Linked DNA regions of Rattus norvegicus. The protein of the gene in region 5 interacts with the protein of the main gene of each other region in a pairwise test. Links are inferred from orthologs where the notes say so. Each region holds a gene or a part of one and is shown on either strand. Other genes may lie near its edges.

Region 1 (3,500 bases), on a different chromosome or scaffold from region 5:
GACTTTCTTTCCAGTATTGGCTCAGAAAAGCCAAATCCTTCTCTAGTTGGGCCTGCTGTTCACGTCACTCACCCATACTCCATCCCCGAGTCTAGACTGTTATCCTTTGAAATCCCAACAATGCATGGTGCCTACCACACAGCAACCACTAGACTATCCTGAATGAAGAAATGTCTTCTACACTGTGGCCCTCAGACCCACTCCTCTCCACTTCCACACTCACAGTCTGGTACCCACTACACAGGCCTTCCGAATGGAAAGAATCTTATACTTCCCATGTTTACTTGCTTGGTTTGCTGGGTTTTGGAGACTGTCCTGGACGTCACTCTGCCCCTTCTCCTCTGAGTGCTAAGCTACCCCACTTGATCCTGAGGACCCCAAAGCTCTTAGAACATGCTTTGTACATGATGGCACTCAGCTAACTCTGGACTAATTGCATCCTCAGGCAGGATTCCCTGCCATCCATCCCAATGAACGAGTCTGCACTGGAGCTAAGGGTTTGCTCTTCTCTCTGGCCCTGCCCTCCCTCTAACTCTAACCCTGAGTGGAACTCACTCAAGGATCTCGTTGTACTCGATTGTCTCCTCCAGGTTCTGAAGGTTGGGGTTGACACTGCGGATGGCTCGCATATACGCCTTCAGCAACTGAATGTCTCGCTTCTGTTGGGTGGGAACAGAACCAAAGAGGACGCTTAAGCCAATCAGCGGGTCTGAGAATGAGCTGCCTGGGAGATCTGAGGAACAGTATTGTGTAAGTGTCTTCAGGAAGACAGGGAAAGACATAGCAAAATGGCTTCATGAAGAAGGCACTCCACATGTCAGATGACCGAATGGTTGAATGGGATGAAGGGAGTGAGGGAAGACAGATCCAACTGATTCTCTCCTGAACTGTGGACAGAGCAGGACACAGGCTGTGGCTGGTGCTCACGGTGGTATCTGGGGTGGGCAGGAGGTTATTTACTAAGGTGGACACGTCCCCTCATCCCCCTCGTTTCCTGGGCCCACCTGTTCTGCCAGCTGGTGCTTGTGTTCAGCAGATGTCTTCTCCAGCTCTGCGATGCGCGTCTGCTGCTGCTGGACCACGGAGCGCAGGTGCTTAATGCAATTGTGGTTTGGCAGCTCATCTTTGGGCATCTCCAGGCTGCAGTTCAGAATGAGACAAGAGCGGAACAGACTATTCAACAGGACATTAGAGGCTCATGGCTCATTCTGTGACAGAAAACTGCTGAGTGGCTTTCTGCGACTCACACTCTTAACAATCTTCCCAGTCCTTCCTTTCTTCGCTTTCCTGTTCCAAACATGCTCCTTGCCCTTATACAGAACTGGCACCCACACGACAGCATTGTGAGGGCCCGCCAATAAACGCCTCGAGACAAGGTCTCGCTCAGCACAGACTACCTTCCAGCTGGTGCTAAGGATGACGTTGAGTTTCTGCTCTCCTTCTCCACCTTCCAGTGCTGGGACTAAGGGTGTGATCATCACCATTGCCCCACAGTGCTCGAGACAGAGCCAGCTCTGCATACTAGGAAAGCTCTCCACCAACTGAGTAAGCAGCACACGCCCTACCCCCTCCACAGACTGTCCTCCTGTGCCCTTAGGGGCAGCCTGAACTAGGAGGGGAGCTGCTGTGTCGCTCCGGCTGCTCTGTGGGCATCCTACCGCACACTCCTTCATGAGGAGTCCTACTCCACTGCGCAGAGCACCAGTGTTCAATACTTCCCCCCTCACCACACCGGCAGCAACAGGCACAAGGGAACATGAAGGTGAGAGACTGGCATAGGTGACCTGGCCTGACAGAGGACATTGGTCTGGAGAGAAAATAAAGCACCTCAATGTCCAGTGCCACCAGAGCTCACTGGACTGCTGTCCTCTTCACAGTTGGAAAGTGGAGCTCTGTGGGCAGGCGGGCGGGCACGGAGCCCAGGAGGTCGGGGGCGGGGGGGCCCTTGCCTACAGGAGTGCAGTGACAGCGGGAAGGCTCGCCTGCATGAGTGGAAGGAGGAGTCTCACCCGCAGCCCTGCTCGCAGGTCACAGGCCGCTTCGGGTTGTGCTCACAGTCACTGAGGTGGGACATGAGGCTGTCAAGCCTGACAACAGCACTGCAGCCAAACACAGCGTTGTCACAGGCAATCTGCAGCTTTGACAACATGTTCCGCATGATCCGAGGCACTGGGCGCAGGTGGGCAACCGTGACAACGCTACGGTCTACCGGACACGTCTGCTGCTGAGAGAACCATTGGGTGATGCAGGCGTTGCAGAAGGCATGCTCACAATGAGGCGCCTAGAAGGGACACAGGGAGTTAGCGAGAGCTGAGACCCTGGACCCAGGAGTTACGAGGCCGGCAGTGAAGCCTGCAACCAGACTCTGGGGGCCCACGGTAAATGACAGGTGAGCGTTTTCAGGTCAGGTACAAGACTTGTTTCCTGTGCTCAGGGGCAGAAATGAGTTGAGACAAGACAAACAAGCAAAAGGTTCTGTAACAGTAAGAGACACACCGTCCGCTCCAGGTCAATGGAAAAGAGGACACAACACTAACACTAACAGCCAGCAGGATCGCATACATGATAACTGCTACGTAAGTCCAGAGGAAGATGAGCTCTGCAGGCAAGGGTGAGCGCAGCAGACCCATATGGAGATAGGTGTGTTCTACACACAGGGCTTCGAGAATGACTCAGACACAGCTTACAGCTGGGCAGAACCTCACTAACCACAACAGAAGTAAGAGAGAGCAAGGGCTGCATGTGGCCCTGCAAGTCGGTGTCCCCAGTTCATAGGCTGAGGAGGAGGTCGTCTTGTAAGCACCTGCCCTAGACGACAAGAGCTGCCTCAGAAAACAAAGGCAGCTGGAGAGGGGACTCCCAGGTAAGAGTGCTCACCACCAAACCGGATGAGGTGAGTCTGATCCCTCGGATCTCCGTGGTAGGAGAGAACTGACTGCTGCAGACTGCTGAGCTCCATATGTCCCACAGACTATGTGTGTATTCACGAGCACGTGTGCACGCTGAATGAGTATAAGAAGACCAATCCGGGCCTGCTGTGCACACCTCTAAGCCCAGCACTTGGGAGGCAAAGGCAGGCGCGTTTCTTTAAGTTCCATGGCAGCATGGTCTACAGAGTAAGACCTTGTCTCAACAAACAGTCCCTCCAAACTCTCAAACAAACAACTGGGGGCTGGAGAGACCCCTCAGCAGTTAAGAGCACTTACTAGTTTTCCAAGGATTGAAGCTAAGTTCCCAGCACACACAGCAGCTCATAACAATCTCTAACCAGTTTCAGAGAGTCCAACAGTTCCTTCTGATCTCCCCAGGAACGTACACACGGCATATTCATCCCCCAGCCCTTTCTTATCCACACGTATAAAAAAATAAAAATCTTTAAGTATTTTTTTTAAATGAAAGAAAAAAGACCCAACAACAAGCAAGGGGAACTGTGGTGAGAGGTTGAGATTTCTCTGTGAAGACTCAAGTTCCGTCTCTCTGCGGTCTGTCATGACCTTTCA
Region 2 (4,186 bases), on a different chromosome or scaffold from region 5:
AAGCCAAAGGAAAAGAGACCAGGTTAGCTTACCTAAAGTTAACGGTGGTGGTGTGGGGTCTAGAACATATTCCTTCTCTGGATCTTCCCCTTTAGGCCCCTCTGCAGTCTTTCTAAGTCCAGTGTCCATCATGGCTGCCGAGCCTTTTCTGAGAGATTGTGATTTGTTCTCTTTCTTTTGCACTTTTGTCTTACAAGGATCTGCTACTGAGAGATGTCCAAGTTGAAGATCACGTAATATGTGGTCTTGTAAGGCAACTGCAGAGACTGCTAAGTTACTTTTTTTAGATGAACGATCCTAAAAAAGGGGGGCGGTGCTTATTTAGTGGAACAGCATGTAACATCATTTAGAAGAAAACTCAGGCCTTGTTGCTCCTTGATGGCAGATTACCAAGTCAGTGGGAAGGAATGCCAGGGCAATATTTAATCAGAGCAAACTCCAGGCCCAACATCTACAATGGAAGTAAAGGGAAACCTTTTCATTTAATTACTGGAGCCTTAATTATAAACCAATAAATTCAAACCTGTGTGTGACTAAATAAGATGCTACTGCTTTGCTATGGCTAAATTAGACTCCAGGCAAACTCTAAAAGGAGATCTTGCTCTTAAGTAAAAGATCTCTGTTGAAAACTTAAAAAACATTCCCTACAGGACCAGGTCCCTGAGGCAGGAGACATATGCAGGTAGCACCCAGAGACTGTCTGTTACCCATATCACATGCACTTTCCACTTCTGCTCACAGTTTCCCAGGAACACAAGGTTTGTAAACTATTTTTATACCTGTAGAAGGTCCAGTTAGACTACACCGCACAAATACAAACATGTGTCAGTTCTGAGGAGGATGGGATACCTTATTTTTTAACATGCTGTATCAGGAAACACCGTGGTGAGGCTTCAACAATCTTTAGCATCCCATTACAATAACTTCCATTTTTTTCTGCTGAAACAGAAAGCAAGAGTGTGTGTAAACATCTGGATCTACTTGGGCTATGGAAATGGTAACAGTGATGCCAGCCACAGAGCATGAGCCACCCTGTCCAATCTACACAGTCATAACCCAATTCATCCCTGTCCTCAAACAGCTTACCATGGTGCTAGAAAGAATTCCACTATAAAGAACAATCTAGCAGCAAAAATGGAGTCTTAGAACAAAGTCTTAGAACAAAATGAGACACTAAAAGTAAATGAACAATCCTTCAAGATAACATTTAGCCCAAGTCTTAAAGAGAGAAATGTGTGTGTTAGATGGCAGGAGCAAGAGCAGAGACGCCCACCAAAGCAGCTGTGCTTGTGTTTGGCAAGAAGGGCAACAATGAAGAAGTGGGTATATGGTGCACGCTGGCTCCTTCAACCTGGCCAGCACATCGGTGGCAGACACTGAGTCCCACCTATGGTAAGTTACTTAAGGATCTGCAGCTCAGTTTTATAAAAAACACAAAAATGCTGAGGTTTGAGGATTATTATACAAAAGGAAACCTCTTTAAGGGCTTACAAGGGACTGTTCTGCACAAGATACTCATAAATGGTTACTGTTGCTCCAATTGCCTCAGAAATGGGGGGATGTATTTGGTATTGACCTTTTTAGTTTTCAGACCATGCTGACCATGATATTCTACAGTGGAGAGAAAAGGCACCTTTTCAAAAGCAACCTAACGGAATAGTATTGAGGGACTAGCTTTCAGAAAGGTGCTCACAGAGCAGCTGATACACCTTCAGGCATACACTAGGCCCTGGGTTCAACCCCTAGCACTGCAGCAGACACTTGAAAAAATTACAGGAAAATGAGTCCCACAGGAACTCATGTGTGAGATGGGAAGAAGAGAGCCAGGTGCTGTTCAGATCCTTTGGAAGCCTAGGACAGTTTTCAGTGTGCTCACCTTCTTGCTCCTTTTCATTGCTGGCATGGAGATCTATGAAAGAAGTTTGTATGCAGTATTTCTTACAGTAGCCTTGGCTGGAGGAAGGCATGTAAACTACTGAAAGGTCACTGTTATTATTTTCCAAATTCAAAATGCCTCTAACTTGGCAATGACCAAGTATGCATCATAAAAATAGTTTATTTTTTTTAACAAGATTCATACCATCGTTAACCAGTAGGTAGCTCTTTGGTCTACAATTTCACCAGATTTGTATTGTGCCGTTGTGACTAATGTCAAGGTAAAAAGCGTTAAAACTGTGCCTCACTAAAGTCACATAGCATTAGCAAATTGTATGATTTAAAAAATAACGAAACATGCCAGATGTAGTCGAACTGTATGAGAAAACATAATGGTGACCCGTTGGACTGGCAATAGGTGAGAAATAAACCTCTGCCTGACGCTAATTGCCACAACAGCAAACTGACTGTAATTAGTTTGCACACGGTTAGGAGGTTGTGCCAGGTAGGAAAACACAGGACTAGACGACAAGCCATTTAATCACCGATTGCTTTCAGTGATCAGAAGGCAATTAATACATGCGTCAATAGAAATGCACTGGAGAGACGGCATCTAAGTTTAAAATACTCTCCCAGTTTGGTTTGAGGTCCCTCGCCACATCACAGCCTTGTGCCTTATAGGAAGGATCCGCGGACCGCCCACAGCGACCCGCACCTTCCGCGTCAACACTACCCGCGTTCGGCCCTCTCTCCCTCTCTATGAACCAGAGCTTTTTTTCTGTCGGACAGCGCTGCAGGACAAACTCACACTGGCCCTTCCTCTTCTCTCCGAAGCACCTTTTCAGATCCACTCCTCGTTGCCACGGCAACTAGCGGCCGGTGCGCTTCGGAGTGCGCACGCGCGCCGGCTTCGCCTGACCCTCAGTGCGCATGCTCGTAGGTCCCCCACCCCTGACCCCCATTCGGCTGAGCAGTCGTCCCTTCAGTTTCACCGGCGGCGAGCGGCTTGCTGCACCCGCGCTTTACGTCATGGCTCCGCCTGTCACTTGTCGTCAGCGTCTGGACGCTGGTGCGGTTACGCTGTCTTGAGGCGCGGGCCCTGGGCGTGTGGTGTGGTGTGCGCGGGCTCTTACCCCTCTTCCTCGGTGTGTGATGTTTGGCGTCTTTTCGCTGCGCCCTGGCCAGTTTGTGTGACCCGAGGATGCGCTGACCCGTGCGGCTGTTTGTAGTGGGCTTTCAGTCGTCCCCTCAGTCGGAAGATTTGATAGCTGCCCCTTCGACTGTTTTGCGAGCGCTGTGGCGTCGCCATTCGACCTCCTACAGTTCCTCATGATGGTTGCCATGGCTCCCGGTAATCGTGGCCTGTTCTGTGTTGCCGGGTGAAAGCCTTTTCACGTTCGCCCCTTCCAGTGGTCTTCCTAGCTCTAGGCAAGGCTTCTCTGAAGGTGAGGGTGGAGAGAGCTGCCCCTGTGGCTACTGACCTTGCAGGGTACCTAGCCCTTCTGCACTCTGTGCCATCTCCTACCCCTCTGAATATGCACCCCCGCGCTGTCCGATGAACCAGGCTTGAACCCCTGGGGTCCTTTAAAAGTCTCTCACTTCTTGGTGCCAAGCAGAAATAGTGTATTGATTTTCTTCTGCCTGTCGTGACAGTGACTTTGCTGCATCTTAATTGTATACAATTCACCTGGAAGTGCAAAGAAAACACGAGAATGCAAGGTCCTCCATGAAGTAAAGTCTGCAGAAGTTACTGAGCTGTGAGATTGGTTTTCTGTCACTAAAAAGTCCCAAAAGTCGATTTAAATCTGTTATACACGATAAGTCTCTGGAACAATATAATTTTAAACTCACTTAAAAGTTACAGATTTTTTTTTTTCTTGGCAATGAACTTTATGAATTGGCTCTTACTACTTGAAGCTTGTAAAAGCAGATTAAAAGCAGGCCAACTGTTTTAAAAGTCAAATTCACAATGAGTTTTAAGTTCTGAATTTTCACGTGGTGGTTCAGGTGCTTTCTAGACATAGTATAATCTTAGCTTATGTTTTAGTGAGTGATGTATTTAGGAGAGCAGTTAAGTCCACCATTTTGCTGTCTTAAGACTGGTTTTTATTTGAAGTTTAAGAGGGAAAAGTTTTTGGATACCTTTAGCTAGACCTGAGTTTAAATCTACACTTACTTTCTGGATGTCTGAATTTTAGCAGCTAGCTTTACGTTGTTTTCAAGGGGGCCTTGCTGCATCCTGTCATTGGGATGTCTATTAATTACCCCAACAGTAGCCCAGGACATTATTCTGTGACTGAACATGTGGCCA
Region 3 (4,226 bases), on a different chromosome or scaffold from region 5:
AGGAAAGTGCTGAGACCAGGAAAAACGTCGAAAGAACGGCCTTCTCAACAGTGGTGCTCCCCCACAGCGTCTCGGAAGACAGAAGAAACTGCTTGAACCTGCACGGGGTGCGTTCCCCTGAATCTGTTAGAAACAGCTCTGACCTAAGGGTGTCTGGATGAAAACCTGAAGCTCTGGGAAATTTTACTTTTTCATGATTTTAGCCTAGTAAGCTAATACAACTAAAGATTATGAACTGTTAGACTCACGACTAAAACTTACAATATCGTTATCTAAAACCGTTGCTATCACTGAGTCTCTGGGCTGATCTATAATGTCTTTGCAATAGAAAAAACTGGGTATAGCATCAGAGTCCAGTTAGCCATGCACATTGAGGAGTAACTCGAATACCGAAACCGCCCGATCGGGATCCGCTGAGCCTCCAGAGGGCAGTGTTGCTTTCATAGAAGAAAGACCTCTAAGGTTCCTTGGAGGCTGCTCATGGGAGTCTGCTCTGGGGTGCACTTGTCTGTTTTGAGGAGAGCAGACAAAACTCAAAACTTCCGTTTTCCTGGTCCTTTTATATAGGCTGCTACCAGGAGGTGTGACCCAGGTTTAGGGTCGGTCTTCCGGTCTCAAATGACCCAATCAAGAAAATTGCCCCCAAGCACTATGCAGCTAGCTAGGGTTTTAGATGATTCTAGACGCAGTCAGAAGGACAACCAAGATTCCTCTTCCTCTCCCTGGCCCTGGAACTGAACCCTCTGGACTTCAGCTCTACCAGCCAAGGAAGGATACTTTCCTCCCCTCCCCCACCCCACCTTAAGATTCCGCTTGAAACCAGCGCTTTGACTTTTGCTTGGTTCACAGGTACTTATTGCTTCTGTGCTGAGTGCCTCTTTACCTCACTCTCTAGGAAGCAAGTAGATCTGTGCTATTCGCTGACTTAAGGCCCCAGAGCAGAAAATCCCTAAGGTGCCCATCTAAAGGGGAAAGAACTGGTGATAGGTCACCAAGCAGGTAAACTCCCTCCACTTGAAATCAGAATCGCATCTCAGTAAATACCAGTTCTAATACTCATATAACAAAATCATATAACAAAAGCACAAACAAGTGAAACTCTTTACCCTCTACTCCGCTCCACCCTTGGGAAGCCTGAGGCTGAGAACCCGGTTCCCGCCACTCTTCCGTTCCTTCAAGAAAAGAAGGCGACCTGCCACCACGGGGCCTCTAAGCGCCCACCGCCAAGTATGCGAACTACTCACCGGGTGATGGCCCTGGCCGACTGCAGAGCAAGAGAGGCGGCGGCTCTGCGGGGAACAGGGAGGGACCTCCCGGGAAACGAAACTGAAACTTTGCCTCTCGGGTCTCTGGGGCAGGACGCGCCTTCTCTCTGTCCTGGTTGTGCAGCACCCCTGAGCCCCAAGCGAGCCAGACGCAGCCAGCCATGGCCTCCAGTCCGGACCCGCCGTCCCCACTACTCGTAAGGCTGCCGGAGTCCATCCCCCGAGCGCACATGAAGCTGGAGATATATTTCCAGAGCCGGGCCTCCGGAGGCGGGGAGTGCTCTGTTCATCCCGTGGGGCCCGGCGCCCCGGACACCTTCGAGGTGAAGTTCCTTGAAAAAGCAGGTGAGCCGGGGCAGGGGAAATAAGGCTCGGGTGCAAAGGTGGATCCAACAGGTTTCCAAACCGACCCCTGCATGCTTCCGAGGAGAGTGTGGCTCTCTCTGCCTGTGGGAGAGTGCGGTCCACAGACTCCTCCATCGCTCAGTGGCAGATAGAGCCTCAGATGAGTCCACCCGCAGACGGTTGACTCCATCGGAGAATTTCCCAGCAGACCCAGTTAAGAAAAGAAACAAAGTGTGGGGGTTGGGACTGAGAAGGAAACCCAGAAGCTTGTGCGCACTAGGCAAGTGCTCCACCACGGGTCTGGACTCCAAGCCACTTTCCTGTTGTAAATAATGATCTCATCGATGTGTTTTTTAAGGATTACAAAAGTAACATACGACCACTTTAAAAAGGAAAGGCAAATGAAAACTTAATTGAAGATTGTTTGGTTTTGGTTGGTTTTAGAGACAGGGTTTCTCCCTGTATCCCTGGCTGTCCAAGAACTCGCTCTGTAGGCTGAACACAGAGATCCTCCTGCCTCTGCTGGGATTAAAGGCATGCGGTGCCCCACTAATGTCCCCAATGAAAGCATTTTCATGCATTCTTTTTCTGAGTCAGCTAATGCATATACGTTCTAGACTTTTGGATTCTTGGGTTTTTTTGGGGGGGTCCCCACTTAACTATGCAATAACTATTATTCAACGTCATTGAAATAAGAGACTCAAAACTATTACAAAACATAGGTTTCCCTCCCACCCCCACCCTTTGAGACAGGATCCTGCCGTGTACCACGGATTGGCTTTGAATTCATGATCTCCCCCCCCCACACACACACACACCGCTACCTCTACCATTTAAGTGCTAGGACTGTGGGTGTGTACCAGCATGCCCAGACTAGAAACGTGGTTTCTAATAACCAAGTTATATAATATGGTAAAACTTAAGCTCCCTACTTTGAAGTTCTGAATAGCTTCTCCCATCAACAGCCTGCTGTTCCAGAATATGCCAGAAATAACTGTTCACGTCCTCTGTGTGCATCTGACAAGGGGCCTACAACAGATACTGCAAAGGTCCAACTTGGTAAACCAATGTGTTTATTGGGGTTACTCACAGGAATATGGGAAATGACTCAAAGACAACTCTATCGCCAAAGCTGACCTAGCATGGGGGGCAGCTCAGGAAGCTGGGAACCTGGAGCTCACTGTAGAGCCTGCAAGCAGGCTCCTGAGCATATCCCTTCCAGGTGCCTCAGCTGGTGTAAACCTCCTCCAGGGAGCTTAGTGTCCACCTTCTGCAGGTAGCTTCTCTAGTGTCAAAGTTTTCTTCTCAGCTTGGCTTGTCCGAGAGTCTCCTATGCAGATCTTCATCGAAGCTCTGTTCTTGGAGTCTCAGGAGGACTCTTCCCAACAGTCTTTATTGCTTACTCTGTCAGGGAGGGGCCTATTCAATTTCGGGGATTTCCTAAAGCTATTTTGAGTTGTTTGCCTTCTTGCTTAAGGAACTTCTCTGCAGGGTAGAATGTTTCAATCTTGGGGAAATTTACGCAACAGTTCCACACTCTAGGGTTCACCCGTAGTGTTTAGCTTGCGTGAAGGATTAAAAATTCATCTAGAAATTCTTAAAAGTCTCTGTGGGCAGTGGTGGCACATGCCTTTAATTACAGCACTCTGGAGGCAGAGGCAGGCAGATCTCTGTGAGTTCAAGGCCAGCCTGATCTACACCGGGAGTTTCAGGGCAGCCAGGACTACCTGGTGTCTCAAAAACAAACAAACAAACACAAAAGCATAGGGGAGAGTATGCGTAGCTTATGTGAAAGCCCTAAGCTTGTTAGGGATATCGCTGAAGGTGGTGTCCTCGGACATTTCTGGAATCAACCTAGAGGGACCCTGAGGGTCATTTCTGTAAATCCTCTCTCATTGCTGTGTGAATGTATGTGTTTAATGTCTCCCCTCAAGATAAGGAGAATGTGTTGAAAAGGGGAAAACACAAGCTGTTGGTTGATGACAAATCTGTGCCTATTGTCCTGGAAACTATTAAAAAGCCAGAAGAGGACCTGAGACCCAGACCTCCATCACTGACACAGCCAGCTGAGACACCAAGCTCCCGACCTCCGTCCTTGACAGAGTCCCTGGATGAAGCACTGGGTGATAAGATACCCAGTGATGGGCCCGTTTTTAACTCTGTTGACTCAGTTGTCCAAAAGGTGAGTGCTGACAGAGGAGCTGGGCTGCTCTGGGGTCTGCTTCCCCTCGGGGTATTCAGGCAGTGTTGTGCACAGGTAAGAATGAAGCTTAGTTGGAACAGGTAGATTATCAGGATCTCAGTCAGCCTGAGTTAGGGAGAAACAGCCTTCTCTGGACATGGGTTTCAGTGAGACATCCTTCTTGTTACACTGGAGAAGGGTGAACAAGGCTATATAAACCTGAGAAAGTAGGTAGGAGTTTGGGGGGGGTGAGTGTCTTCTTTTTATTTTATTTATTTGCTTATTTTTGTTTTTGTTTATGTTTTTTTTTCAAGACAAGGTTTCTGTATATAGTCCTGGCTGTCCTGGTCACTCTGTAGACCAGCGTGGCCTCAAACTCAGAGATTACCTGCCTCTGCCTCCTGAGTGCTGAGATTAAAGGCCTATGCTACCAC
Region 4 (3,500 bases), on a different chromosome or scaffold from region 5:
GTGGCTTGCAAGGTAGAGTGTTTTATTACAGGACACAGATGTGGCAGAGCTTGAAAAGTGATTGAATGACCACGCTTGGCAAATGATGCCTCAGAATGTACAAGTTAGCCAAAATCTTTGCTTTTCCTTCCCTTTTCTTCTCCCTGGTTTTTAATCTCAATATCTCTGAATAAAACTGCATAGAGAAAAAATTGCTTACAAGAAAAAAATAGTTACGAGCAGTTTTAATAATGATTCTAGTAACTTTTAGAGAATGTCAACAAAGACTTATTGCATCTCTGGGGCAGAGCGGGAGGATTGCTTATCTCCTCTTCAGATCTGGGCTTCGGAGCGATCACTCTGTTCCTCCCAGAAAGCTGGGCTCCTGAATGTGTGTATATATACACATACGCTTGCTGTCTTGTTCATAAGCAGGTGTTCATAACTCTTGTGGCCTATGTGTCTGTGAGTGGGTGTGTGCAAATGTATGTGAGTACGCTCGTGTTAAATAGTAACAAGATGAAAATGCTACATCTAAGCTACCCTCATATTTATATTAAATAATGACATGCTGATGTCGGTAGCCCATAATTCTCCATTTTCCATTAACCATCCCGCCAAGTTAACTGTTTTCTGATCTCTCTTAGATGGAAGTCCTCTATGAGTGTGGAAGCCATTAACAGAGTAATTGCTGTCTGTTGCCATGACAACCAGTCGCTGCAGTCACCTGCCCGAAGTCTTGCCAGACTGCACCAGCTCAGCTGCGCCTGTGGTGAAGACGGTGGAGGACTGTGGCAGCCTAGTGAATGGGCAGCCACAGTATGTCATGCAAGTTTCAGCCAAGGACGGGCAGCTGCTGTCAACAGTAGTGCGGACTCTTGCCACCCAGAGGTAGTGCCACGGTTAAAAACGAATGAATCTACAATTGATCCAAAGAGCTGTTTGTCAGGTGGAGAATGCTAATGGGAGTGTAATTAGTGCTCAGGTCTTTGTGTCAGGAAAGAGAGGTGTTGGGGAAAAAATAATTTTAAAAAGACTACCCAAGTTCTGTTGCTGCTGTGTCCACAGCAGCAGGAGCATACAGCTAAAATTCATGTTGTCACGTTCCTCCTGAAGCCGCTATAGAGAGCAGGCAGGGAAGAGCCACAAGACGTGGGCCTGCTTTGCATTCGTCATTTTGACACTGTTGTGGCTTGTTTTGTCCTCGGATCTCCAGCAGCTCACAACGCTAGCCCTTTGTTAGGACAAAATGAAGACGTCGTCGTCTGATTTCAGGTGACGGAGTCAAAGCAATTTGTGGGATAGAGCTAAGGCCTTGAGTAGCCCAGGCTAGCCCCAAACCCACTTTGCAGCCGAGAATGGCTTTGAAGGCCGGATCCTGCGTCCGGCCCTTGCATACTGGGATTAGAGGCATGTGCCACCATGCCTGGTTCTGTAGCTAAAACTTGTGAAGTAACATCGCAGTGTGCATGCCGGTTATCGCTACCCAGTGGCTATGCTGTCTGGGCTGATCTCTGAGTGAGTCTCCTTTTGCTGTTCTGCAGCCCCTCCTTCACACTCTGCAACCCCATCCCTGCCTCTTCATGCACACTCCAGCCTGGGAACTACTGCTCTTTCAACTGGTTTCCCTATGTGCAGAAGAGGGAGGGCTCTGGACAGCCTGGAGGCCACTGATTCAGGCCAGCTCCTTGACCCTGCTGTTGTCCGTGGCGTATTAGGAGCTATAGGCTGCCAAGATAATGGAGGTACCACGTAGTCTCCAATTTTCTTTCAGAAAGAAAAAAAATCTTATATTTTCCTGGTACCCATACCAGGCCGTTCACAGCCTCCTATAATTCCAGTTCCAGGGAGGCTGACACTTCTGACCTCCTTAGGCAAGTACTCGTGTACACACACACACACACACACACACACACACACACACACACACACACTGTTAAAAATAATAAAATCAATCTTTAAAATGTGTGTCTGTCATAGAAAGCAAGGAAAGTATGTAATGTATATTTCCCACTTCTTGGAGAATTTCTAGCAATTGGTTAGGGCTCAGAACATAAAGAGGAGGTGAATGTCATTGGCCCTCTGTGTACACCAGCCATCCTAGGAGGCTCAATCAGTCACCTTATTTGATCAAGAATGGAAGGCTGTTTGATGTAACTGAGAGCGCTCTCTCTCTCTCTCTCTCTCTCTCTCTCTCTCTCTCTCTCTCTCTGTATGTGTGTGTGTGTCTGTGTGTGTGTGTCTGTGTGTGTAAGTGACTGACTGTGACTGTGTGTCTGCGTCTGTGTCTATGTGACTGACTGTGTGTAACTGTGTGTGTGTGGTGTGTGCCTCTCTTTCACCTACTCCTAGACCACACAGCACTGCACACCAAAGGCTACAATTTTTCCTGCCTATGACTCCAAATGAACAAAGGAGGCCAAAGGACAAAAGCCAGCTGCCACCTTTTTTCTCACCTTCCTCTCCCCAGAGCATGTAGGGTCTCCTGGGCTAGAGAAAGGACAATCCTGCCTGTCTCTAGCTTTCATTTACTCTCAGGGACATTCCAAGAGAAGCCTGTGTTTCTGTGGTTGGCTCCATTTGGATCAAAGATAGCATTAAAAAGTAATGGGGCATGGACGCAGGTTAGCATCATCTCTGGAGAACGTGGGAGAAAGAGAGCAGAGAGTGTGAAAAGAGACTAGGTTATCAAAGGAATGACAGCATTCTTTTAAAATGTCATTCATAGAGGGAGCTGGCCCCTCTCGTTGAAAAAGGAGGCTATCTTAATTTGATGTTTCCTTTAAGCGTACATGGTGAGGGATATGCTACTTGGTTTTCCTTGGCCCGAGTCATTCTGCAAGTGACAGTAGCTAGCATTAACAAGGCTTGGCTGTCTGCCAGTCCTCTATATGTAAGTCTCTGCTCTAGACCAACTTTTTTACACCCTCGCAATCACAATACAGAAGGCTCCACTTCTGAGCCCATTTTAGAGATCAGGAGACTAAAGTATGGGGAGATGAAGTTACTTCTTCAAAGCTTACAGACAAACCCCAGAGCTTGGGTTTGAGCCCAGGCAGCCAGATTGCAGAGCTGGGGGCCACTCACCATGCCAAGTTCTCTTCAAGAAATGTGAGCGAGTGGCTTTTCCACACTTGAATGCAGAACTCTAGACAGAGGCCACCTCACTAGACAACTTTACCACTTGCCTTCAGTATAGTGTCTTCAGCGTCCCAGAGAGTATCCTCCTCAAGCTCCAAGGACCAGCCACACCTCAGCATTGTGCCCCAGTCTACTCTGCCTCAGAGTCTGTGACCATTTTATTCCCCTGTTCTTGCTCTCCTGCAGAACTGAAGAGAAATGACAGGGACCTTGCCTGCACCTCCTTCTGACTCAAAATATGCAGTTTATCTAGATACTACAATTGATGTCATTTCAAAAGAGTTTGTTTTGGGGACTAAAATGATGACTCAAATGTTTAAAACACTCATTGCTCTCACAGAGAACACAGTTTCAGTTCCCAGCAACCTCATGGTGGCTTA
Region 5 (4,300 bases):
CAGAGATCTGCCTGCCTCTGCTTCTCCCGTGCTGGGATCAAAGTGTGCTCTGACAGGTCAGTTATCTTTACAAAGGCACTTAAAACAGGCAAAAAGGAAATCAAGTTGTAAGACCCACCAAAACACTACCAAATGAATTAAACCTGTATGACACGGTGAATTAATGACTTGACCAACTACTCAAAAGCTCATATTTAGGGTTGGGGATTTAGCTCAGCGGTAGAGCGCTTGCCTAGCGAGCGCAAGGCCCTGGGTTCGGTCCCCAGCTCCGAAAAAAAAAAAAAAAAAGCTCATATTTACGCACTTAAAAGGGAAATATGTAGACTGCACTATGGGTTCTTCACTCAGGTGAAATCAACACAACCTATCTAGGGAAATGAAATAAAATACTGGTGAGGATAAAGCTAACTGTTGGCTGTGGTTTTTTACAATATTAAATTTTATCTGATCTTTTCCAAAATATTCTTTGCAACTTACTTCCTTGAACTGAATTCCCTGCTAGGTTTTTAAGGCACCATTCTTGAACTCATATTTCCTATTTCCTTCCTGAGAACCATTGACAATGTTTTTAACCAGAGGAGGAGCTTTTATCCGATTTGCACACTTGGGTGTAGAGGTCAAAGAGAAACCTTCTAGCATGTGGGTCTGAATCTGAACTCGGTCATCAGGCTCCTCAGCCATCAATTAAATAGTAGAACAGTAAATGGAGCTGGCCACTCAGCCCATCAGTTAAATAGTAGAATAGTAATAATATGTACTACTAGAGTCATACAAATGCCGATAATCTTCAACTTAAACACCAAATGCCATGGTGAAAAGTCAGACCACACAAAGCAAAGAGGGTATATCAATTTTCAGGGCAGTAACTTGACACTTTTAGATAAAAGAAAGCATGAGAGGTCTAAAGACCCATACAACCTTATTATAGAATACATGTTGTAGGTTGTTAACAACATAAGAATATACAACGACCCCAAACTAAGTTTGCTTATTAAAGAAAAAGTTTAAATAAATCACCATTAAAAATGTGAATACTGTCATTCATATTGTTTCTGCATTGTTTCACAAAAATACAAAGTCATCCTTCCATTCAGAGTTTTGGCAAATGAATACAGAGGTCAGAGTTCATGCTACGTAAGACAGATCCCTACGTATTTCTTAGTATGCTCACTAACGCTGCTAACATTGTCACTTCAATTTTAAGTGACTTTCTTCATGTCTACTTGGAACGATGGATAATTGTCTGCAAGCTTGGGGGCACAATAAAGCTGGAGAGCTACAAGATTTCTAACAATTTCTCATATGCTTAAAATGACGAATTTTAAAAATCATTAATGACATTATCAGAGTACCAAGCAAGCATAATAGGAAAACTGTGAACCTTGAAAAAAATAATTACTTTCAGAATTGTTAAGTTCAATCATAGAAAAACTGGCATTTTTGTCGATTTAGCACTTTTATAGCAGAGTAAAATTATTACTTTCAATATTTCACATAAATAAATCTGGTAAGCATTAATATGCTTAAAATTTGCAGGACTTACAGGCAGTCAGAGTTTTATTTTTTAAATATGCTATTTCCTGATATATTTTGTGACAGAAAAATAAACCTAACTCAATAATGAGCTACAACAATGTGTATCTGATGAAATCCCTTGGTTTTAATAGGCCTCTTTTTAAAAGTAAGACTCAAGTTAACTATGAGGGACATCATAATGAAGTTTCACAGTACAACACTAGTCACAGAGGCATTACCCTAGGAGAGCCTCTCTGATACGGGTGAACAGTATTTTGAAATAAGCTACTCACACACTCCCATTATTCTTCCTATTTCAAATCATTTAATTAACAAACAACTTGCCTTTGACTAGACAAAAAGCTTTAAATATCAGTGAGGAGGCCTAGTTACTTACTGGCTGGGTACGTAGAAAAGAGATGACTATCTAATTTGGAATTATTTTTTTATCTATAGTGAAAATTGTTTCAACACCCCTTCCCAATTCAAGAATGCCCATTATGTCTCCATAGATCCCCCAGCACTGTACCGTAAGGGAGCAACTGAAAGTCTTCTCGTCTATACCTAAAGACTGTGAAGGCTCCTTCCCCAAGGAAAAGACAGCAAAGGCCTGGCAGGCAATATCCCCAGTACCCCTGAAAGCGTGGGCCTGTGAGGTGCGCTGCTGCCGGGGATCTAGTTACTACCTTTCCCCTTCCCCCAACCCACTTCCCGGGTTTTCTCGGCCTGTTCCTTCCCCACCGTACAGTCACACTTCCAGATGTTGTTGCCGCCGCCTCGGGGCTCTCTCTAGAGCTCACGTGCCCGGGACGAGTGCTTCGGCATCTGCCCCCCAAACCCTGTTCCTCCCCAGGCCGGCCGGCCGCCCGCGAGACCGCCTATCCCAGGGCCCGGGGAGGGGAGGGAAAGGCGGCGGGAGGAGGAGGGGAGACCGCCGCTTCCCCATAGGCAGAAAGGCGGCCGCAGCGAGGCCGGCTGGGACCGCCGGGGTCGCGGAAGGAAGGGCCCTGCCGCCCTGGGCTGAGATGGGGGTGTCCGGTAGCTCATTCCTGACCTCCTCGCTCTTCAGCACCTCCTTGAACTCCCGCTTGATTCGCTGCACCGCGATGTTGGCCATGTCTCTGCCCGCAGCTGATTCGTACCCGCCTCCTCCGCCACCGCTACGACCACCGCCACCGCTGCCACCTCTTCCTCCACCGCCTCCTCCCTCAGTGATTCAGACCCGAGCACACGAACGCTGCCACTGCCACCCTTGCCGTCGCGTTCCCCCTCAGTGTAGAATCACCTCCGCGCCCGGCCACCAAAATGGCGCCGGGTCCGCGCATGCGCACCACGCTGACCCGGGCGGGCGGCGCAGCCGCTCCAGTGGTAGCCCCATACGTCTCAGCAGCGAGCCCGCGCCGCGCGTCTCAGCCGGGGCTTCGGCCGCGTGGCTCCGCCCTGCCGGCGGCTGGGGCCAGGAGGGTGCGGTTTCTGTGCCGGTCCGCGGGGTTTGGGCCTGCGGGGTCCTCCCCTGCCCCTCGGCCCCCTTTACGGTGAGGCCTCCAGTCCCTAGCCACGGACCCGAGGTGGGAGCCCCGCCTGGCGGGTTCCCGGGGCCCCAGCCGGGCTGAGCCTCGCTCTAACTCGGCCAGACCCAGAACCCACGGGCTAGAGGTGCCTCCCTGTGTCTAGCGGAGGAAAAAACTATGCAGGAACTGGGTCCTGCCCAGCGTCCGTTGGTAAACCCCCGGGATATCCACTGCCGTAGCTTTTGTTCTGGAACCATGATAACGCAACTATTATTCGGTCATCTCAGGTATTACAGATTTTTAAGGTTGTGTAATGGTTGCGTCCCACGGGTTGTAATTGATACAGGTGTTGCCGGGGACAGGCCTGTGATGAGTTTAAAAGCCAGAAGTTAAATCTTTGACCTGTTTAGATAGTCAATGCTGAGCTGTAGAACTAACATGTTTTTCAAACTTGAACGCACCTCGGAATCCCTGGAGAGCTGGTTAGATTACTAGGACCTATCCCTAGAGTCTGGATGGGGCTAAGAATTTGCATTGCGAGCAAACTCCCTGCTGCCTGTTTTTCAGCGACCACGCTGTGAGAATGGCTGAATTAAGCATGTGAAAGTCTGTATAATTTATAGTGACAGTTGGAGAAATAGAAGGCCGAAAGAACTTTAGACCTACAAAGGTTTTTGGCGCTCGTAGATGTCAATAAGCAGTGAGTGAATATAATTGAGTGGAGAAAAGATGACCGAGTAAAATGTTTTAATTGAGCAACAACGTTGAGAGGCTATTTGAAAGTGGTTAGTAGAGTTTAAAACAAATAACGGAATGTAGATGCTGAGGAATACTTTTGAAAATAACATTGTGAAATAATGAAGGTATTATTTTAGGAGTATGTTTCATGTATTCACCTAATCAATCAGTTCAGTATTCCATCATAAGACTAATACGAGCTGAATGTAGTGGTATAGGCTTGTAATCCTAGATTGGGAGACAGAAGCAGGAGGATCATGAGTTCGAGAGAAACCAGTCTAAGAGTGCTCCCACTTCTCTCCTATATCCGTTGCCAGCTGCGGTTCCCTCGTCTGTGAAATGAGGAGGTTGTTTAAACTTAAGAGTTCAAAATTCTGAAACATCTCAAAGCCTTTCCCTGAGTAGACAGACATAAATTATAAAAGATCTTATAGCAGAGCCCTCTAGTGGTTATAAGGACCGTCAACTATATACTGAACAACTGAACACTACAAAGGATTTTTGCTATGATATAAATCTAGAAATGTTGTAGGTAT
Region 6 (4,278 bases), on a different chromosome or scaffold from region 5:
TAACCTCAGGAAAGGTTAACAATAAACTCATAGATCCAATGTACAGCAACCACACTACACCTATACAAATCTAAGAAATCTTAATGTTAATTTGTTTGTCCTGTCAGTCTATTTCCCTGTATTAAGGTCCCAGTCCTTGGGGTTGGGGTAAAGGCAGGGGCACATATACCTAAGCTATACTTAATGCACAATACCACGGGCCCTTTATTACCATGGCATTTCTAACACTTAAAGCTCTAAATGTTTTTTTTTTTTTTTGGTTCTTTTTTTCGGAGCTGGGAACCGAACCCAGGGCCTTGCTCTTCCTAGGCAAGCGCTCTACCACTGAGCTAAATACCCAGCCCCTAAAGCTCTAAATGTTTTGATACAATGAGTTTTCTATTTCATATTTTCAACTTGAAAAAAAAAATGTACTCAGATGTACCTGCTGAAAAATGTGCTGCTCCTTGGCTTTATGCAAGTAAACTGCTGTTCTCTTAGAACACAGTAGAACCACGTCTCAGTACCTCACAAATACGAAGCACCAAAACAAACAAACAAACAAACAAACAAACAACGTGCTCAATATAACCCCAGCTAGCACACATTCTTCATTAAACCTAATTATGTTTATTATAGCTTTCTTCAAGTACAGTCTCTAGACCCAAGTACAATGACAGAAACCTTCAGTCCCAGCTCCTCAGGAGGCTGAGCAAGTCAGAGCTGAAGACTGACTATTTCTAGTGAAACTATTTCTACTGAAACATCTGGGATACAAGTGACCAATACACTGAGACCAAGATGGAAAGATAACAAAAGAAAACACACATAGGACACTCAACCCTGACCATTAAGAAAAAACTATCCTCCCTAGTTTTCCCCAATATCATTCAGCCAACTCACAAATGTCCTCCGTAATTTTTTCAAATGCTACAGGGAATCTTAGGTTACAAGCAAACAGGATACAATGAAATGATTTGTCCATGGCCACACCCTAAGAGAGTATCAAACGTAATATACATAATTTGGGGGTAGGTATTTAAAATAGGGTCTAGCCTCTACCTCCCAAATATCAGGATTAAAGGCAACTTGAGCCTTCACACCCAGCACTCCTGTTACAAAAGTAATATTTAAAGCTAAATTATTTGTTTCTCTTCAAATTAGAAGAGCTTCCTTATAACCTATGTCACAATGTAACACAATATTACAGTTACCAGTTTCTACATAAACATTTTTACTAAAAGAAAAAAAAACCCACTTAGTAACAAACTAACAAAATGTAAATCCAGACCTGGAGAAATGGTCTGCAGTCAAGAGTGCTTACTATTCTGGCAGAGGACTCAACTTCGGGTCTCAGCACCTACACAGGGCAGTGCAAAACCTTCCTTAACTCCAGCTCCAGAGTAGTAGATCCTCTTCTGTCCTCAGAGGCACCTGCACTCACATGTAAGGACCCATACATATACACATACAAAGAATTTTTGGGTTTGTTTGGTTTTTTTTTTTTAATGTAGATTCATCCTGATAAAGCTAAGTAAAATCAGAATTATGGAAAGAATATCTATATAAAGTCAGAATCGCATGATAGTTATTGCAAAGACAAATGTTAAGGATATGGAACCTCTGTTCATCTTTTATCCGATTCTGCTCTTTTTGGTTAAAGAGGTCCCCCAAAACAAGAAAATTAAAGATAACACGCCAAACGAAATAAAGTTTGGATCAAGGCAGGTTCAAGAGCTTTCAGAACTCTTACAATGAAGTCTGTCAGCTGGCTCTCTCACTGCTACTCAGGAGTTCTAAACTCACTCTGTACATAAATCAAGGAACAGGAAAGCTCTCAACAATACAATGGAGTCAAGCCCACACTACAGACACGAGCAAATTAAATGAAGACGCTATGACTTCCTGGTATTCTTTTTTTTTTTTTTTGACCCTAAAAACTCACACTTGTTTTAAAACATTATCTATAAAGCTCTATAATCTAGGAAGTGTGGCGACAAACCTCTATTTCTCCAGAACAAAACCCGATATTTCCACCGCACCACTGCTGACTCCGATCAATTATCTAGGCAGGATAAAGAAAACATCTTTTTTTAATGACTAACCAGCCAACTCCACACAATATCAGACGCGCCTGTCTTCTGCTCCGCGGACTGCGCGTGCCCGCCCGCACCGGGCGGCTCCCGGCTCCGGCCGGGGTTACCTTCCTCACTCCATTGTCACCCCCACTCCTCGGCCCTGAGCCCCCGTCCTGCTGGCGAGCGGCGGCCACAGGGAGCAATCCCCTCACCCACTCCCTCCCAAGAGGCTGTGGGTGTGTCCGCGGGCGGACTGTCGCCGGGACACAATGAGCCACTCCGCGCCACCCGAGACCAGCGGTCATCCCCCTGTCGCCGACCCCGGCCGCCCGCCGCGGCCCTTCCTCTTTCTCCCTACTGCTCGGCCCCTCCCCCGCCGCGCGCAAGCGCCGCCGCGCCGCTCCCCTCCCCCGCACCCCCTCTTCCGCCGGCTCCCTCACCCGAGTCCGCAGGCCCCGTGCGGCCAGGTCCGGGACTCGCTGGCGCGGGCTGGCGAACAGCGCTCGGCCGGGTGACGCTGAGGCGGGCCGGGTGGCTGTCCTCAGGAGGGCGTTTGACAACGCCGCCGCCGCGGAATGTGAGGCTGCGCCCGGCTCGGCTCGACCCGGCTCGGAGCACCCGATCGCGGCCCACGCGCGCTCGCGACCCTGAACGGCCGGCGTCTCTACGCCGCGCAGCCCCAGCGCCCCGCTACCATCGCCGCCGCCGCCGCAGCCTGGGCCGGCCCTCCCCGACTGCGCGAGCGCGACACCGGGGGCCTTTTACGACAGTTCGGAAAGCGAGCGCGTCGAACCCTCACGCCCTCTCACAGCAGCATGTCTGCGCATGCGCGAACCTGCGGCCGCCCCTGCCCGCCCCACTGCGTCCCAGTCCTTCCTCTTTGCATTGGCTTTCGCGAACTGTTGGCCCAGTGGAACGAAGTTAAAAATAAGCTGATTGCGTTCACTTTCTTCCGTGATTTCGAACTCAACAGTACTTCGACATAATTCCGCCTACATCCTGGTTACTTTTTCTCTAACTAAAAATTATTTCAGCTTACTGACTGCACTTGTCGTGCTGTTAAACCAAAAACATGGGTTAGTGTTTTTCTCAGCAGATGATACCCAAAACAGAGATCTCATCTCATTGTTGAAAGTGAATTCAAGTTAATTTCCAGAATCATTTCAAGCGTAGTATTAGGTAGCCTGGGACCTCTGGCTATACAATTGCAGAAGACGTCTAATTATCTCTCTCTCTCTCTCTCTCTCTCTCTCTCTCACACACACACACACACACACACACACACACACACACACACAAAATTGCAATGTTTTATTATGTGCCCTAGAAAGACGTAAGGACAAAGCATGGGCTCTGCAGTCAGACAGCCTTCCGGTGAGAAAGCAGAGTGAGGGTGCCCAAGCTAACTTATTCACACCTTTACAAATCTCATTTTCCTTCTTTATAAACCAAGATAGCGGTATATGCTTCAAAATGACCTTGTGAGGTCAAATACGACGATTTACATAAAGTACCTTATATTACCAATTAAGTACTTAACAAGCATTAATCCTTTCCCTATACATCAGCTCCTTGATAGTTTTCTTCACTCATGTTCTCCATATTTAGTGAAGAAGGTCGTTCTTTTGGTTTGGAGAGAGAGAGAGAGAGAGAGAGAGAGAGAGAGAGAGAGAGAGAGAGAGAGAGAGAGAGAGAGAGAGAGCGCTTGCACCTGAATTAATGCAATAGCCTGGCTGTCCTGGAACTCACTCTTGGAGACCAGGCTGACCTCAAAAGAGATCCACCTGTTTCTGCCTTCCAAGTGCTGGGAGTATTTTTAAATTATAAACGACGAGGAAATGGAAGATAGTGGATTCAGATTTCCTTAGCGTCCCTAATTGCTGCCCTCTACAAGTAGACTGAGACTATGGACGCCCGGGACTTGTTACTGACTCATGATGTCTCAAAACTCTGTATCTGTCCCTCTTTTGTTGTTGTTGTTGTTGTTGTTGTTGTTGTTGTTGTTGTTGTTGTTGTTGTTTTCCTGAATCTTTTGACCTGCATTCTTTAATAAGAATGTGGAGAGACTTGCCACATATGACTTTTTAACACTTGAAATAAAGCAATAACTACATCAACTTTCAGAACTATAGTACACAAATGTGAAAAGCCCAATACTTTTTACTATTGATTGTATGTTAAAGTAATATTTCTACTTGTTTGGGTTAATAGGCTATCAAGG
Region 7 (3,500 bases), on a different chromosome or scaffold from region 5:
GGGCTGCTGCTAATATGCCAGGCAGAATTCTACAGTCCTCTCTACTAATGGCCTGGAAAGGGAGAAGGTTCAAAAGAGGCTTAGTTCCCAGGCCTGCTAATGAGCATGAGGCCTCTTCACCCTAATGAACTGGTGCTTGTGTGGGATTCTTTATCATCTCCTTTTGAAGGGAAGGCAGGCAGGAGTTCACAAAGCAACGAGGTATTTATGGGAAAGGAAACGTTCAGCTGGGCCACCCGAAGGTGGCCTGGAGGGGAGCAACAGAGCTGGCAGAGGTCATGACTGGGCCAGCAGGGTTGTGAGTGTGAGACAAAACCTCTTGCCAGCCAGACCTGTTGCTGGCAACAGTGACCAGCCTGAGATAAGATATTTTGGGCCAAATGGGGTTGCACTGGGGTTATTGTTACAACTTATCAAATGTATGTGATAATATTACTTATCAGCGTTTCAGCCTTCAGAAAGGCTACCACATAGTTTTCTAATTTCTGTCTGCATCCCAAATCCCACTTCTGGATTAATCAATACACGAGCAATGAGCATATGCCAAAAATATTGCCTCTACCATGAGCGTCTTGTGAAAAATCCATAGGTTTTATCCTCAAGAATGTCTTGAGCAATGATGTTCTGAATCTAAACATGATTTTTTCTTCTGAAATGTATGCATTTCAGTTCATATATGCTTCATGTTCATCTCTATAACAAGTACATCTGTACAATTGAAAATCCTGCCCTGCCGTTACAAACTGATAGTCTTTGAAAATACGTATACATTAATATTCACGCTCACAAATTCAGAGTTGTGAATGACATTATTTCATTAACAAGTTTTTGCATTTTAATGAAAGGGAAAATTTGTTCGTGATGTAAGATTACTCTGATCGTACGCCAATTATAGAGGCTGCAGTTTCAGTCACTTACTAGATTAGAGTTAGACCTTTTAAAGCCCAAAGCTGTAAAAACTATAAACAAACAGCAATAAACATTACAAAAAGAAAGCTGCCACTTTCAACAATCAGAAATTTGAGAAAATGATAGGCTCCTGTTTTATTTTGTTTTGTTTTTTCTGTTTGTTTTGTTTTGTTTTGTTTTTATCATTTGCCCCCAATAAAGACAGATGTTTGGAACATACACATAATTTCCCTTCCATGACCTGTGTTTGGAATTACTATGAGATGCATTTGAAGCTGACAGCCCCAGTCCCCTCCACCCCCACCCCCCCCACCCCTGCCCGCTGACCCCTCATGCTTAATCCAATCTTACATTCTGTTTCCAGATAGCTGATCAGCTTCCTTGGATTTTGCTGATGACCCCGGAGAGTTTTGCCTGAAGATGGAAACACTGGAGTCGGAGCTGACCTGTCCTATTTGTCTGGAGCTTTTTGAGGACCCTCTCCTGCTTCCCTGTGCACATAGCCTCTGTTTCAACTGTGCCCACCGCATCCTGGTCTCTCACTGTGCCACCAACGAGCCTGTGGAGTCCATCAACGCCTTCCAGTGCCCCACCTGCCGGCATGTCATCACGCTCAGCCAGCGAGGTCTAGACGGGCTCAAGCGCAACGTCACCTTACAAAACATCATTGACAGGTTTCAGAAAGCATCCGTGAGTGGGCCCAATTCTCCCAGTGAGACCCGCAGGGAGCGGGCCTTTGACGCCAACACCATGTCTTCTGCCGAGAAAGTTCTCTGCCAGTTCTGTGACCAGGATCCTGCCCAGGATGCTGTGAAGACCTGTGTTACTTGCGAAGTGTCCTACTGTGATGAGTGCCTGAAAGCCACTCATCCGAATAAGAAGCCCTTTACAGGCCATCGTCTGATTGAGCCAATCCCGGACTCGCATATCCGGGGGCTAATGTGCTTGGAGCATGAGGATGAGAAGGTGAATATGTACTGTGTGACCGATGACCAGTTAATCTGTGCCTTGTGTAAACTGGTTGGGCGGCACCGCGATCATCAGGTGGCAGCTTTGAGTGAGCGCTATGACAAATTGAAGGTTAGTCCGATCCGCCTTAAGCCAACCCCTTTCTGCCAGCAAATGTCATGGAAATAAGAAGTGTATTCACTGCTAGCTACATGGCAGGTGAAGGATTTCTCTTCACCTTTGTTGTCTGATTAGTTGTAGCATGTTTTTGGCAGGATATAAATGTTACACAATGAGGGTATCTTGTAAAAGTTGACTGCTGCTTGTAATTTTAGTGTTGTCAAGGTGAGGGCAAATTCTAAAATCTGGATCATTTTCAACTCTTACTGTTTTCTGGATCATTTTCAATGTCTGCAGTTGTTACAAAGAGAGGAGATAGAGACAGCATGGGGCAGGAGAAGGAACGGTGAGAAAAAGAGAAAAAGGAATATAAAAAAATCTATCATTTGAGCATTTACAGACATTTATTTTCTTCACTCTTGCAGGAAAAAGTAATTTACTCACATTGGACCTTTATCTAGTTACTATACAAACAAAAGACCAGAAAGAAGAATGTGTGTAGCAAATGTCTGTACCAAATGTGGGATTTTAGAGGACATGTGACCTCCTTGTGTAAATGATATTCAGCTTATTGGTGAACTATCATGTTCTGACAGTCTCGGGTTTCATGAAAGCATTCCTGCCTGTATAAGCTTCTTTTATTCAGCCAGTTTACAGGCAAGACTGTCTGAATTCCATCCACTTCTAGTATGAAATTATCCAAATTACAGCTTGGGGAATAGTAATTAACATGGTTATATGTTAAGTTAAAAAAATACTCTCTAAATAAGGTTAGAAAGCTGCAGGGAAGAAATAAAAAAAAGTCTCCTGATGTCTATTCAACTTCGGTTGACAGTGGGCCTAATTATTGCAAACATGACTGAGAGAGTTTGTGTGAAGTATTATGTTCATCAGCTAATTTTTAGATCACAAGACACTAATTAAAAGAAAAAGAGGTATAAGTTAAAAGTGCTAAGTAAATATATACTGAAGTCCCTCCTCTCAGGAAAAACAGAGCAACTTGTTGAACAAACAAAATTAATCAGATGATCCAAAGAGTATCATTGCTCAAAGAATAACATCACCTTTAACAAACGGTTCCTATTGCCTTCTCCTAATGCTAATGACTGCTTATATTTACTTAGGCTACATAGGTGATTTCACCATGGTGAAGATTAACGAACCACATCTGGGATTCAGCGTTGTGATTGTTTGACACAATGAGGGAACTTGACATGCTAAGGGAAATCCCTGCTTCTAAATGTGATGAGGGAAGCGAACGCAGTACACGCACAGATCCTTCACTTCAAATGTCCAAGGAACGAGTGGCTGCAATCCATCTTTTTACCATATAGGGAAGTTTGCCACAAGAATGTAGGTAACACAGTCAAGGGAGGATAGGCACACATTACATTTTCCTGCATTGCCCAGCGGTAGAGAAAAGTACCACCAACGTGTTTGACAGGGAAAAGGAGTGTGCAGGAAATTACAACAAAGTCAATCGTTCAAAATTCCAGATAGCTGTTAGCTTGTGTAATCTGAGA

Evidence for each region.
Region 1: the proteins of Ube2k (region 5) and Rnf41 interact in binary tests that used the Homo sapiens proteins (3 or more experiments, as listed by UniProt). The link is inferred for Rattus norvegicus from reciprocal best matches to the Homo sapiens genes UBE2K and RNF41.
Region 2: the proteins of Ube2k (region 5) and Rnf32 interact in binary tests that used the Homo sapiens proteins (3 or more experiments, as listed by UniProt). The link is inferred for Rattus norvegicus from reciprocal best matches to the Homo sapiens genes UBE2K and RNF32.
Region 3: the proteins of Ube2k (region 5) and Dtx3l interact in binary tests that used the Homo sapiens proteins (3 or more experiments, as listed by UniProt). The link is inferred for Rattus norvegicus from reciprocal best matches to the Homo sapiens genes UBE2K and DTX3L.
Region 4: the proteins of Ube2k (region 5) and Marchf3 interact in binary tests that used the Homo sapiens proteins (3 or more experiments, as listed by UniProt). The link is inferred for Rattus norvegicus from reciprocal best matches to the Homo sapiens genes UBE2K and MARCHF3.
Region 6: the proteins of Ube2k (region 5) and Rnf111 interact in binary tests that used the Homo sapiens proteins (3 or more experiments, as listed by UniProt). The link is inferred for Rattus norvegicus from reciprocal best matches to the Homo sapiens genes UBE2K and RNF111.
Region 7: the proteins of Ube2k (region 5) and Mid1 interact in binary tests that used the Homo sapiens proteins (3 or more experiments, as listed by UniProt). The link is inferred for Rattus norvegicus from reciprocal best matches to the Homo sapiens genes UBE2K and MID1.

The regions. Positions count from the first base shown.
Region 1 is NC_086025.1:1,443,254-1,446,753, reverse strand, and holds part of Rnf41 (E3 ubiquitin-protein ligase NRDP1), read right to left. Parts: intron 2,282-3,500; coding exon 2,010-2,281; exon of another isoform or gene 1,983-2,009; intron 1,141-1,982; coding exon 1,005-1,140; intron 660-1,004; coding exon 556-659; intron 1-555. UniProt on the Homo sapiens protein: Acts as E3 ubiquitin-protein ligase and regulates the degradation of target proteins. Polyubiquitinates MYD88. Negatively regulates MYD88-dependent production of pro-inflammatory cytokines.
Region 2 is NC_086022.1:6,881,177-6,885,362, forward strand, and holds the start of Rnf32 (RING finger protein 32), read right to left. Parts: upstream 2,801-4,186; 5' UTR 2,713-2,800; exon of another isoform or gene 2,251-2,712; 5' UTR 2,184-2,250; exon of another isoform or gene 1,877-2,183; intron 940-1,876; 5' UTR 865-939; coding exon 850-864; intron 298-849; coding exon 33-297; intron 1-32. UniProt on the Homo sapiens protein: May play a role in sperm formation.
Region 3 is NC_086029.1:78,318,913-78,323,138, forward strand, and holds the start of Dtx3l (E3 ubiquitin-protein ligase DTX3L), read left to right. Parts: upstream 1-1,426; coding exon 1,427-1,610; intron 1,611-3,544; coding exon 3,545-3,792; intron 3,793-4,226. Other genes in the region: protein mono-ADP-ribosyltransferase PARP9, read right to left, coding at 1,245-1,497.
Region 4 is NC_086036.1:52,475,798-52,479,297, reverse strand, and holds part of Marchf3 (E3 ubiquitin-protein ligase MARCHF3), read left to right. Parts: intron 1-626; 5' UTR 627-682; coding exon 683-870; intron 871-3,500. UniProt on the Homo sapiens protein: E3 ubiquitin-protein ligase which may be involved in endosomal trafficking. E3 ubiquitin ligases accept ubiquitin from an E2 ubiquitin-conjugating enzyme in the form of a thioester and then directly transfer the ubiquitin to targeted substrates.
Region 5 is NC_086032.1:43,069,371-43,073,670, forward strand, and holds the start of Ube2k (ubiquitin-conjugating enzyme E2 K), read right to left. Parts: upstream 2,801-4,300; 5' UTR 2,633-2,800; coding exon 2,570-2,632; intron 1-2,569. UniProt on the Homo sapiens protein: Accepts ubiquitin from the E1 complex and catalyzes its covalent attachment to other proteins. In vitro, in the presence or in the absence of BRCA1-BARD1 E3 ubiquitin-protein ligase complex, catalyzes the synthesis of 'Lys-48'-linked polyubiquitin chains.
Region 6 is NC_086026.1:80,058,185-80,062,462, forward strand, and holds the start of Rnf111 (E3 ubiquitin-protein ligase Arkadia), read right to left. Parts: upstream 2,801-4,278; 5' UTR 2,498-2,800; intron 2,434-2,497; exon of another isoform or gene 2,363-2,433; coding exon of another isoform or gene 2,085-2,362; exon of another isoform or gene 1,982-2,084; intron 1,328-1,981; exon of another isoform or gene 1,304-1,327; intron 1-1,303. UniProt on the Homo sapiens protein: E3 ubiquitin-protein ligase. Required for mesoderm patterning during embryonic development. Acts as an enhancer of the transcriptional responses of the SMAD2/SMAD3 effectors, which are activated downstream of BMP.
Region 7 is NC_086039.1:27,796,421-27,799,920, reverse strand, and holds part of Mid1 (E3 ubiquitin-protein ligase Midline-1), read left to right. Parts: intron 1-1,273; 5' UTR 1,274-1,329; coding exon 1,330-1,989; intron 1,990-3,500. UniProt on the Homo sapiens protein: Has E3 ubiquitin ligase activity towards IGBP1, promoting its monoubiquitination, which results in deprotection of the catalytic subunit of protein phosphatase PP2A, and its subsequent degradation by polyubiquitination.